2 linked regions of the Arabidopsis thaliana genome follow. The gene in region 2 interacts genetically with the main gene of each other region. Each region holds a gene or a part of one and is shown on either strand. Other genes may lie near its edges.

The links. Genes that interact genetically often act in the same process or in processes that back each other up.
Region 1: of ETR1 (region 2) and EER5, a change in one rescues a mutant of the other (synthetic rescue), as found in Arabidopsis thaliana (one study listed by BioGRID).

Annotation. Positions count from the first base shown.
Region 1 is NC_003071.7:8,465,142-8,470,720, forward strand, and holds EER5 (proteasome family protein), read right to left. Parts: upstream 4,005-5,579; 5' UTR 3,929-4,004; coding exon 3,761-3,928; intron 3,157-3,760; coding exon 3,020-3,156; intron 2,931-3,019; exon of another isoform or gene 2,910-2,930; coding exon of another isoform or gene 2,902-2,909; coding exon 2,808-2,901; intron 2,702-2,807; coding exon 2,612-2,701; intron 2,513-2,611; coding exon 2,447-2,512; intron 2,360-2,446; coding exon 2,270-2,359; intron 2,181-2,269; coding exon 2,124-2,180; intron 2,024-2,123; coding exon 1,962-2,023; intron 1,880-1,961; coding exon 1,792-1,879; intron 1,679-1,791; coding exon 1,602-1,678; intron 1,267-1,601; coding exon 1,192-1,266; intron 1,120-1,191; coding exon 1,014-1,119; intron 915-1,013; coding exon 783-914; 3' UTR 549-782; downstream 1-548. Other genes in the region: AT2G19550 (alpha/beta-Hydrolases superfamily protein), read right to left, coding at 1-390; CDA1 (cytidine deaminase 1), read right to left, coding at 5,457-5,579. UniProt on the Arabidopsis thaliana protein: Involved in the regulation of ethylene response. Probable TREX-2 component required for nuclear RNA export.
Region 2 is NC_003070.9:24,732,450-24,738,287, reverse strand, and holds ETR1 (Signal transduction histidine kinase, hybrid-type, ethylene sensor), read right to left. Parts: upstream 4,127-5,838; 5' UTR 4,005-4,126; intron 3,636-4,004; 5' UTR 3,591-3,635; coding exon 2,685-3,590; intron 2,610-2,684; coding exon 2,241-2,609; intron 2,164-2,240; coding exon 1,909-2,163; intron 1,827-1,908; coding exon 1,699-1,826; intron 1,609-1,698; coding exon 1,411-1,608; intron 1,283-1,410; coding exon 922-1,282; 3' UTR 570-921; downstream 1-569. Other genes in the region: AT1G66345 (Pentatricopeptide repeat (PPR) superfamily protein), read right to left, coding at 1-569. UniProt on the Arabidopsis thaliana protein: Ethylene receptor related to bacterial two-component regulators. Acts as a redundant negative regulator of ethylene signaling.

The sequences.
Region 1 (5,579 bases), on a different chromosome or scaffold from region 2:
GACATTGCGGATATAATCGGGAAACTTGGAAGCATAGAGAAGAACGACATCACCACCTTTACTATGACCAAGAATGACAGGAACTAGACGGTTCATGATGTTAGAGGAGGACAAGTGTTGAATAACGTAATGCAGATCATCCTCTGCTTCACTGTTGAAGTTACCATAATAGAAAGTTCCTTCACTATCTCCGTTACCAGAGAAATCGAAACGAAAAGAGCTGATTTTTTCTTTCTCCAAAGCTGTAGCCACGTTTTTGAGAATCTTGTTGGTCTTGTCCGATCTAAAGCCATGGCATAAGACCACAACTTCTTTTGATCCAGTTTCGTGAAGCAGACCCACGAGCTTCTCGTTGCGGCGGTTCGGAATCACGATCTTCGTTGGCTTCATCGTCTTTTTGCTTCAGGTGGTAATCGTAGAGAAGAAAACAATGAGGCCCCCTATTGATGTAAAAAGAATAAGGTAATGGAAGTATGGAACTGGAACTCTCGCCAAAGATCAAATTGCATTTTTCTGTGGAGATACGAATGAGACTCGTAATCACTTTTTCTTTTTTTTGCTAAACTAAAACTCGTAATCACTTATTCTTCTCATGTCGATATTCAGTGGAAATTTGGACCTTACTCGTAAGTAGACTCCTCAACCATGGTGAAAACTCCACAGTTTTAAAGTCACATTTCTATTGTAAAAACAGTTTTTGTTTTTTGTTTGAATGAATTTTACACACAATTAGAAAATAAAAAGTGTTTGTTGATACAACAAAAAAAATAACACGTGAAGACTTATGAGCTAACAGGCTTCCCGTTTAGTTTAGGGAAAGGATCTTGCTTGCTTAGAACTACCACTTTGCTCTTGTGAGCTAAATAACCTTTCACAAGGTTTTTGTATATCAATATCGTCATTATACATTCCACCTGCAAATACAGTATTATTTTGACAACTGTGAGTTTATAGAAGATTTCAATTTTAGAAGAAGTCAAAAGCAATGAATGGGATGGTATTGTAGAACAAACCTCGTCCAGATCCATGTCCATATCTAGCCATCTTAGTGCTTTGGCAATCCCTTCAAGCTTCAGCTGGTGAGCTCTCGCTGGATCACTCAGCTTCTGGTTTATATAACTGAAACATTGATAATAATAAGAGTTATAAACTCAAGAATCTTGGATGGTATCATAGCTTGTCTTTGCTTACATTTTCTTCATGAGTCTCTGGTAGACTTGGAGCTCTAGCTTTTCCAAGACAAGATACACACCCGACCTCAAGAACCTGTATAAAAGAAGAGTATTAGATCGAGATATTAAGTTGTTCGGTGATAGAATCAAAATACTCATCATATAGAGACTTGCACAACTCTACTCTCGACCCAACTGCAAATCCTAACCCCTAGACAAATCCAGAACATCCCAACTCTTTCTGCCCCAATTTTCTTTTAACCTGTTAGCTCTCTACCTAAGAACCAGGTGTTACTGACCTGTCAGCAGAGCTATATAATCCACTACAAGCAGCCTATACTAATTCCAATACTCATGCTCTAGAGTATCCACAAGGACTCTATCATTTGGATTAGATGAGAAAAGCAAGATATCGAAAGAAATACATACCGATCTTCATGTTCTTGAAGAGCATGCCGGAGAAGCCTTAGATCACCCTTTCTCAGAGCTTGCACAATCTTTGTGTACTGGACACGTAGAGAAATAGGATTAAGAGAGATATGATATCACTCAGCAGATGCGAAATAAGTTTTGACATAGATTCGAAGAAAATTTTATAGAACAACAGAAAAGTCGTTACCTCATGCAGATTATAATTTCGCAGGAGCTCATCTTTTGGTATAATTCCTAAAGAAAGCTTCACCGGTACCAAATACTTTAATATCATCCTGATTCACATAAGGCCACATTAGCTGATTAAGCAACGCAATGCAAGAGTAAGGTAATCACAGAGTAAAACCAGAATCAGACCTTATATTTCGTTCTCTTTTGGGGTTGCAATTTTGCAAGGCATATGATAGCTTTGTATCAGCCTGCAAGATCCAAAAAAAGAGATTAAATGTTACTATCAATATTTGGATTGACACTACGAAATGAACTGTGATGGTAAGAAAAAATCTCTTAGTGACTCACAGCAGGAAAATTTTCGTTGAAGACTTCTAATCGGCCGGTATAATACATGTATGTAACCTGGTGTTTGCGAAGAATAAACAGAAGATAATAAGTAACCGAATAAGGAGGCCAAAAACTAAAACTGTTTGCAGAGAACTGCGCCAGACCTTATCTCTTCTTGGAAACTCCTCAAAGTCAAATATCCGAGCAGTTTCGATACTTCTTATTACACTTCGACAAAGATTGACGGTTCCAAGCTAAAATACAAAATTGGGGATACCTGTTTAGTACTCCATTTAATGGTTAAATCATAAATATCAAACTGTTGCCAGAAAGCATATCACCTTAAAGTAGGTCTTGAACAATTGGCAAGTCACATATAATGCTCCGACTCGTTTTGGACCTTTCCCCTATAGTTTAAAACTACATAAGGAGCCGGAAAAAATATTGAACACAAATATAAACTAATATTCCTGAAGATATATAGATAGATCAAAGGGAAAACTTACAGCAAGAACTCCAAAAACTTTCATGAGAAGAGACCCAGCTGCTTTTAATTTCTCTGGAGACTTTCCATTAGAAGTTAAATCTTTATCAGCCTGCAATTCCATGTGGAAAAATCATGCTTTCAGAACTGACTCCTCGACACAATGAAACCAGACAAGGTTAAGATTTTGAAAAAGGGATATACAAATGAGATACTACCTTTTCCGCAAGAACTCGAATTTCATAACAAACTACATACAGAGCTTCCAATGCCCAAGCAGATTCCCAATTACGAAACTCCTGAACAAATGCACTGCACATATAGAATCCATCAGATATCAGACATTGTGAACAGACAAAAAAAAAAGCTTATCACCCTGAAATCATATTAGACATCAATAGAGGAGCAGAGAGGAACAAGAAGACTTTACTTGGCAAACTTATCGAAAGCAAGGTATGCTTCGACTAGATTCCCAACTCGGTAACTTTGTAGAGAACGAAACACATGAGCCAGAATCTCGCCATATTCAGAGAATCTATCAGACTGTCTAATCAAACTGCTAGAATCCTGTATCAGTCAAAGAAAAGAAAACTCAAAGGATTCAGCACTTTCACAGCTCTCTACATATAAATAAAAACCCTAAATCTAAAATCCATACTCATAAACTCAAACATAGACATAGAGTGTTCACTACAACAACTCAATAGGAGACACTTTCACGGCCTAAATTCATACTCATTGGTGAAGCAGGAGGACCCAATTGGAAAATCATACTCATTAGTGAAGTAGGAGGATCCTAGATTGACATTGATTGAACCTAAAAGATACACACTTTGCTAACATAAAGATAATGTTCCTAGTGTTTTGAGCCCTAAATTCAGAAATTCATACTCATTGGTGAAGTAGGAGGACCCAATTAGAAAATCATACTCTTAAGGATCTTACATTGAATCGATTTAACCTAAAAGTTACAAACTTTGCTAACATAAAAACCATGCTCCTAGTGTTCACAATTCATACGAGAACCCAATCGGAACATATCAGAAGCATCCTGGATTTGAAATCGAACCTAACTTTACCAATTTACAAGGATCATGCCACTAATCACAGGAACATACTCCAAGCTGCTAATTTGAATCATGGGTCTCGATTTAACAGAGAATATATGTACCTGGAAGACGTTGAGTGCGTCGGCGAGTGAGAGAAGAGGTGGAGAATTGGAAGAGAAAGAGAGGAGACGGCAAAGTGTAGAAGAGTCTTGGTACGAAACGGCGTCGCAGAATCGGTTTAGGTATTCAGTGATTCTCCGGTGAGCTTCACCCATACTAACGTACGCCATTGTCACCTTCTTCGTCTGCGTCTTCCTTATTCTTTGAGAGAGACACGAAATCAAATAAGTCGCCAGGAAAAAAAAGGAAATAACGGAGTTGAGAAAAACGACGGCGTTTGGTAATTAACTAAATTGTTACTACGTACTAGTCTTTTCTGGTATTAGACTTATTGACATATGTTAGTTGGGCCATTTAAGGCCCATATGAAATACAATCATTAAAATGTTTGAAAATTTATTTGTAAAGGATTTGAAAATATCATTAGTGTTGGAAGGATTTTAAAGTTCCTGTAATCGGTGGTACTGATCATGAATTTTTTTTAGAGTTTTTAAGTTCATATAATCGTTTTATAGATCATGATTAATTTGCTTTAAGGTTTTTTAAGTTCATGTAATCGTCCGTAATGTTGACATCTGTATGTAAATATGTCTTCTTAGCCCGATGGTGACGTGAGGAACTTTCTTGAAGGGACATGAAATCAATTTATACCATGCATATAACTCAACAAGTTGCCAAAAACTCGAAGAAATGAATATAATCAACTTGTCAAAAGTAATTAACTGATCAAATAAATCACTTGTTTCCAAATGTGATTTATACTTTCACACTTCTATATATTCCCATTGATATTCCCCTTCTTTCATAGTTAGCAAAGGCCTCTACTACATGTACATGATAAATAAATAAATAAAAATCACGCTAATCATATAATTATCAATATATTTTATTCTTGAACACACAATTAATAGAAATTTTGAGTTGAGAGAAGTCAATCCAGGATTAGTATTTATGTGTAATGCTAAAAGTTGAAGATAACGAGAAACTTGAGAGGTTTTTAAGGTTCCTACTTTATTTTTGGTATGAAGGTTCCTACTAAAATATGCTCTTATATATCATTTTATTTAAAAAGCATTCCATTTGAAACTAATCTAAAAATCTTTAGATTCATTGTTCACCACTCATAGTAAGAGTTGCATGTGGACCATCTTATATTCTCTACTTTCTCATACTTCGTATTTGGAACCTTTATTCCAACAAATTCAATGTGTAAAGCCATCATTACGTTCATTTATTTTTGCCTTTTTGCGTACATAAAAGAAACATCATAACTTGACATGTAAAAAAAAAAATCATTGATTCGATTTGAGACTTTTGAAAACCTTGTCAATTTTATAAAATTTGGCCGATTTGATCTAATCCACATAATCCATCCCTTATAGACGAAATTAAATTTTCAAAGGGGATATTAAAAAAAAATATCAAAAAATGGAAAAATTTAATATCAACAATTTTTTTTTTAACAATACTCCATAAACATAATAATTGTATTAAATTTAATTTTTTAATACAATAAACATTTTTAACAAATTTAAAAATATAAACTTTTCTTATTCTCTATGTGTTATCCATCACATCAATTTCAACACTTTTTTTTTTTCCGTCAATTTCAACACTTTTAAGAATTAAAAAGTCTCATTTTCTTTTTATTCCTTTTTTTTTAAAATTCCTTTATTTTTCGGATAATTAAATGATTCTCTAAGCTTCATAGCAATGAAACACTTTGAATTCGCATTTCGGCGATATAGTCTCTAATAACAACCTCGCCGTGTGCTCTTGCCTCACCACCGCATCTTCTTTCTCCACCAGAACCGCTCCGAC
Region 2 (5,838 bases):
AATCTCTTGAACACATCAAACCCTAATTCCAAATACCTAATCTTAGCGTAACATTGAACTAACAAATCAAACACTAAAGGAGTAGAAGATGAGATCTCATAAGTATCTAACAACGAATCGACTAAATCCGAATCGGGAGGAGAATTTAACAGAGACGATTCAATTAAAGCTCGAGCGTCGATTAGTAATCGAGCTTTGACAAGGATATGAATCGTCAATGCGTAAGATTTGATTCCGTGACGGAGATTTCGAGTGTGGGATGACCAATGGAAGAAGGATAAAGCTTGTTTGGCGGTTTCGGGGTTTTTGAATCGGAGAAGGATTGTTTCGATTAAGGAATCTGATAGATCTATGGAGGAGAATTTGGTGGAGAGAGTTTCCCAGGTATCGTTGGATTGGAGGGATTTGGAGATGTAGTCGATGAGGATTTGTTGTTGTTTGTTTGGATTTGGATTAGTTTTGGAGGAGAAGGAGAAGAAGCCATGGATGAGTTTTGGAGATCGGGTTGATTGAGAAACTAAGTAACGCCATTGTTGTTGTTCTACTAAGCGGCGCAAAGCTGACGCCATAATACTGCATCAATGTCATACATGCACGCAACAAGCATCCATAACTCGATCCAAATTCTTATAAGAATGTAACTACATATATAAGGATACAACATTAGTCAAACATGTAATCTGAAATGGTATGATTATACCACCACCATCTTGTTCCTCTATAACCGAAATCGCCACGGACACATACCGGTTTAGAGTTTCTATTTTGTTATTCCCTTTCTGTTTTAAGATATCATCCAAAACGCTCCGACAATCTCTGATATGTACACAATTAAACCAGAGAACATCAGCTTCCGATGTTTTACGGGAGAAGAAGGCGGGAGCGGAATTACTCCTCTGGGGCATGGGGCATCCATCGCCTTTACATGCCCTCGTACAGTACCCGGGGCTCGAGAAGATCAGACAGAACATCTCTTATGTTGTCTAGTGATACGGGTTTGAGCAACACACCGTCTAGACCAAAGCTCATGCATTTCTCTTTTGTGGATTTGTCAGTGTTACCACTGAGTGCCACAAGTAGTGGCCGTTGGTGGCGTTGTTTTGTGAATTTCTCGTGAATACGGAGAGCGATTTGGTAGTTTTCGACCCCGGGCATGCACACGTCCATGAAGACCACTTTGTGCTCATGGGACACAACTCGGAGACACTCCTCGTTTGAACTCACCGTGGTCACTTCGCACCCAAGGTGTACAAGAAGTCCCTTCGTCACCATTCTACTTACCCTGCAACCAAAATAATCATCGGTTTCTCATAAGATTAAATTTGCGTTTTTTCTAAACGCCAATATCTGCATTTGCAAGAAGTAAGGCGAGAGATTTTGCAAAGAGAAAGGTGAGAAGCTTATACTAACCCGTTCTCATCCATGACAAGAACCTTAAGTCCAGTGAAATTTGAATGTCGGGGAATGGCTGGAACTTTCGGTATGCCCGACTGTTTAGATTCGTTTGAACGTTCTGAGATCCCAAGTTTAACATCAAAGATAGCCGTGCATCCTTTTCCAAGACCATCGCTCTCAATCCAAATGTTACCCTCCATCAGATTCACAAACCTTGTCATATTAAACGCTTATGAGTAAACTTTTAACAACACAGAAGACAAGAAAAAGTTGGAAAAAAACGTCTTTTAATAAGGCTCAAACCTCTTGGAGATGGCGAGGCCAAGCCCACTACCACCCGAGCTTCTCGTCGCTAAAGATTGTGTTTGAGCAAATTTAGTGAAAATCTTTGGAATGTCTTGAGGATTTATTCCTGCTCCAGAGTCTTTTACCTATATTTGAATAATCATCAAAATTAAGACCTAAGAAATACTTTCAGCTATGGTATAAGATCCCAAGATACAAGATAATAACCTTCACTCTCAAGTAGAAATGACTCCCAGTTGGCACGACAAAAAAGTCAGCAGCTCGTGTGTCTGACTTGGTGACAAGAGCGGTTACGGAGATACTACCTTGTTTGGAGAATTTCACAGCATTACCAACTATATTTAATATTATCTGCATTAGCCGTTTCTCATCCCCAACAACAAATTCTGGCAAATCTGGTGCAAGATTTAGTGTGATGGGTAATTTCTTAACAACCGCTATAGGCTTTATCAGATTGAGGACCTGCAACAAGATTCAATATGACAATCAAGTACACAAATAGTATAAACTTATGAAACATAGAGCTGTTCAAAAGTTACCTCTCTAAATAATGTATGAAGATTGAATGTCCCAAGTTCAAGTTGAAGACTTCCATCTTCTAACCTTGAAAGATCTAAGACATCATTCATCAAAGTTGCCAAAAGGTTACTACTTTTAAGTATTGTTTCCACCATCAGTCTTTGTTCAGGGGTTAGTTCCGTTTCTTGGAGTAAGGAAGAGAGTGCAATAATCGCATGCATCGGTGTTCGCATTTCATGGTTCATAACCGCTAGGAAATCATTGCGGGCACGGATTGCTGTTTCTGCTTCTCGTCTAGCTAGATCAAGAGCAACATTCTGCTCCATGAGAAGGTCCCTAGCTCGCATCGACTCTTCTAGGATCGCAGCATGTGAGAGAGCTACAGCCACCTATAATAAGAGAAGAAAAGTTATAGACAAGATCATGAACATAGCAAAGAAGAGAAATTCTCAGCAATGTAAAACCTGATCAGCGACGACTTCAACGAGTTCCAACTCATGGACATGCCATTGCCTTGCACTATCTGAAGGAAGCATCAAAACCATCAAAGCATATCTCTTTGTTGAAAGCTCAGGCCAGTCATTAATCTGAAAATTAGAAAGGTGGAGAAGCGGAACCCTCACAGCGACCACCTCCCCTAGCATATATTTCCCAGAAACAGGTCTCAACCTAGCCACAGGAGAATTAGGAGATATTTTTACAGCCCTACTAGTACCAAACACTTGGTTAATCACCGGTAATTGAATAGGAACCGTATACTCCACGGGATGTTGATGACGAAGTGTATAAGAAAGCTGTAGCTCTAACCCAGTTCTAGTAGGCATCCACAATGCACACTCCTCCAAAGCTAATGTCCTACCAAGCTCAACAAGTGTAGTCTTTAAAATAGTATGTCTATCTAAAGTGCTTCTAATCTCATGAGTCAACATTCTCACATGCCTTCCGGTTTCTTCCTGAGTTCGAATCAATCCCATTTCTCTATCGAGCTCAGCAGCTTTATTTTTCAAGAAAAGCTCCCGAGTCTTAACACTCAAAAGATCAGGAATAATATGAACAAGCATCAACGCAGTAGCACACGAGACAACAGCGGTTAACACCTTCGCGGTAGTCATCACAAGCGCCACGGTTCTCGAATGCGTAGTGAAAGTCCATAAGTTAATAAGATGAGTTGCTCCACAAAGAACGATAAAAGCACCAAACTGAACAAGTACCCATCTATACGGAAACACGGCTGATTTCTTCACAAAGTAAATCAACTCAAGAGGAATCGAAAAATACGCAATCGCAATGAAGAAATCGGAGATGTATTGGTATTTCATTAACAATTCATCCGCTGGCCATTGCGGTTCAATACAATTGCAGACTTCCATTATGAATTTTTTACACTATAGTTCCTCTCTCACACATACACACACCTGTGTAACAAACACATAGCATTATCAACTTCGATTTACGACGAGAACGTAGCGTAGACAGATCATGAGCATCAAAATTGCTATAAATTCTGAAGAATCGAATTCGATCACAACGATTACGAAAAAATAGGTTGCATATTTCAGTCTCGAGAACAGTAAAATTCGAATCCGAATCATGAAATTAACGATTAAATCTTAATTTAAAGTTCCTAATAACGATGCATTACACTAGATAAAGACCAATTAGGTTAATCAATCTCTATGATTTGAGATCGACGACAACAACAGAAGAAAACTGTGGAAGTGAAGAATATATATAAAGAAGTCACGAAACAATCTGAGGAGAGAATCGAGGAAGAAGAAGCTTACTTGGGAAGAATTGATCGGAGAAGAGGAGGAATTGGGGATTTGGGACGCGGCGGAGAGCGACGGAGAAGGAGAAAAGGGGAGCGTTGAAGCTTTTTTTCAAGTCAAAATTGGTTGGGTTTAACACTTCTTCTTCGTTCTTACTTTTTTTTTCGACGTCATTTCTCTAATTTTTTTGTTATTATTATCAGATGTTTTTTTTTAATAAAAAAGGGTAATATAGCTGGTGGGTGCATGAATTTGTTCATTCAAATATCTTATGATAGTGTAATGACGTAATGTAGATAAAGGAATAGAGTAAAAATGGTAAGAAAAATACAGATAATATAGGATAAATATCCCCATATTTATCAACAAATACTATCTTTATGGTTTCACCAAAAAATGCAAAATATTGTTTTCACTAACTTTCACCTTACATTGATTCGTATGATTTCAAAAAAGGAGAATGATAATGTCATTTGGAGATTAAGCAATATATATGTTTAGCCAATATAAAATTATGAGTTTTAAGTGTAATCTTATGTAAATAATCGTTTGTATAAAACATTATATAGTTGTAAGAGAAGTAAAACAAGTTGAATCAAACAAATATGTTCATGTGAATAAAAGCTATATTATGTCAACTTGGAGATATATCAAACTACTAATGTTATATCTGGTTAACTGTAATATATCTCCAAATTGACATAATATAGGTTTTCAGTACCTCAAAACTAAATCAGAGTTAACCAGAAATTTGATCCTAAACCAAAAGTATATTAAGCAATTATATAAAATTATTACATTAGTTTTTTTTGAAATCAATCCTCCGAAAAATGTACATAAGACCTTAACCAGTCAAATCAAAATCCAAACAAAACTAAATTTCATCGATTCAATTCTCAACCAACGTTTATGTCTCATATATACTAGTGTTGATTACTTCAAACTTACAATATGGAATCTTAATATATACCTTCAAGATGATGGCTCTAATCAGCCTATCTCGAACTGAATCTCATTTTAAGATCAGTATTAAATCTCAACACACGAAATTTTGATACATACAGTAAAACCTCTATAAATTAATACTCGATAAATTAATAATCTCTATAAATTAATAAATTTTTTCGGTCCCGAGTTGGAACCACTGTAAAAAGTGATACAAATCGATAAATTAATAAGATAATAGTTTTTTTGAAAATCTTATATAAACATAGGGTCCCATTAATATCATAAATTACAGAGAAATATAATTTTAATATTGTTTTTTTTTTACTTAAATTTGTATAAGTTTTTTTTTATTTCATTTTAATATTTTTACTCTATCAAAAACTTTTCTTGTTGTTTTCTAGACATGATAATTATTTCTATTTGTAATTGGTTCTAAAAATATATTTTAGATAATGGAATGAATCTTAAATTTTTATAGAAATTAAAAAAAAAATTACCACTTTTGGAAAATCTCTCTGTAAATTAATAAATATTAATTTATCGATAAATTAATACCTTTATAAATTAATAGAATTTTGTGGTCTCAACATTATTAATTTATAGAGATTTTACTGTATTAAATTTTATGGATTTCCAAATTAAATCTAATTAATAATAAATAGATTGGTGTATATTCTTTATATATAAGTGTTGGTCCTTCAATTTAAAATAAGAATAAAAATCGCAATACCAAAATATATGGATTGAACCAAATTGATATTAAGGGAAAGAGTGGGGCCAATACTATAATGACCAGAGAATCGAAATAGAAAGAAAACTTAGGACATGGTTGGCTCACACTGGTCCACAAGTAACTCTTGTGGTTACAATTTTCACTTCTAATCCCATAATTCTCCTTCTT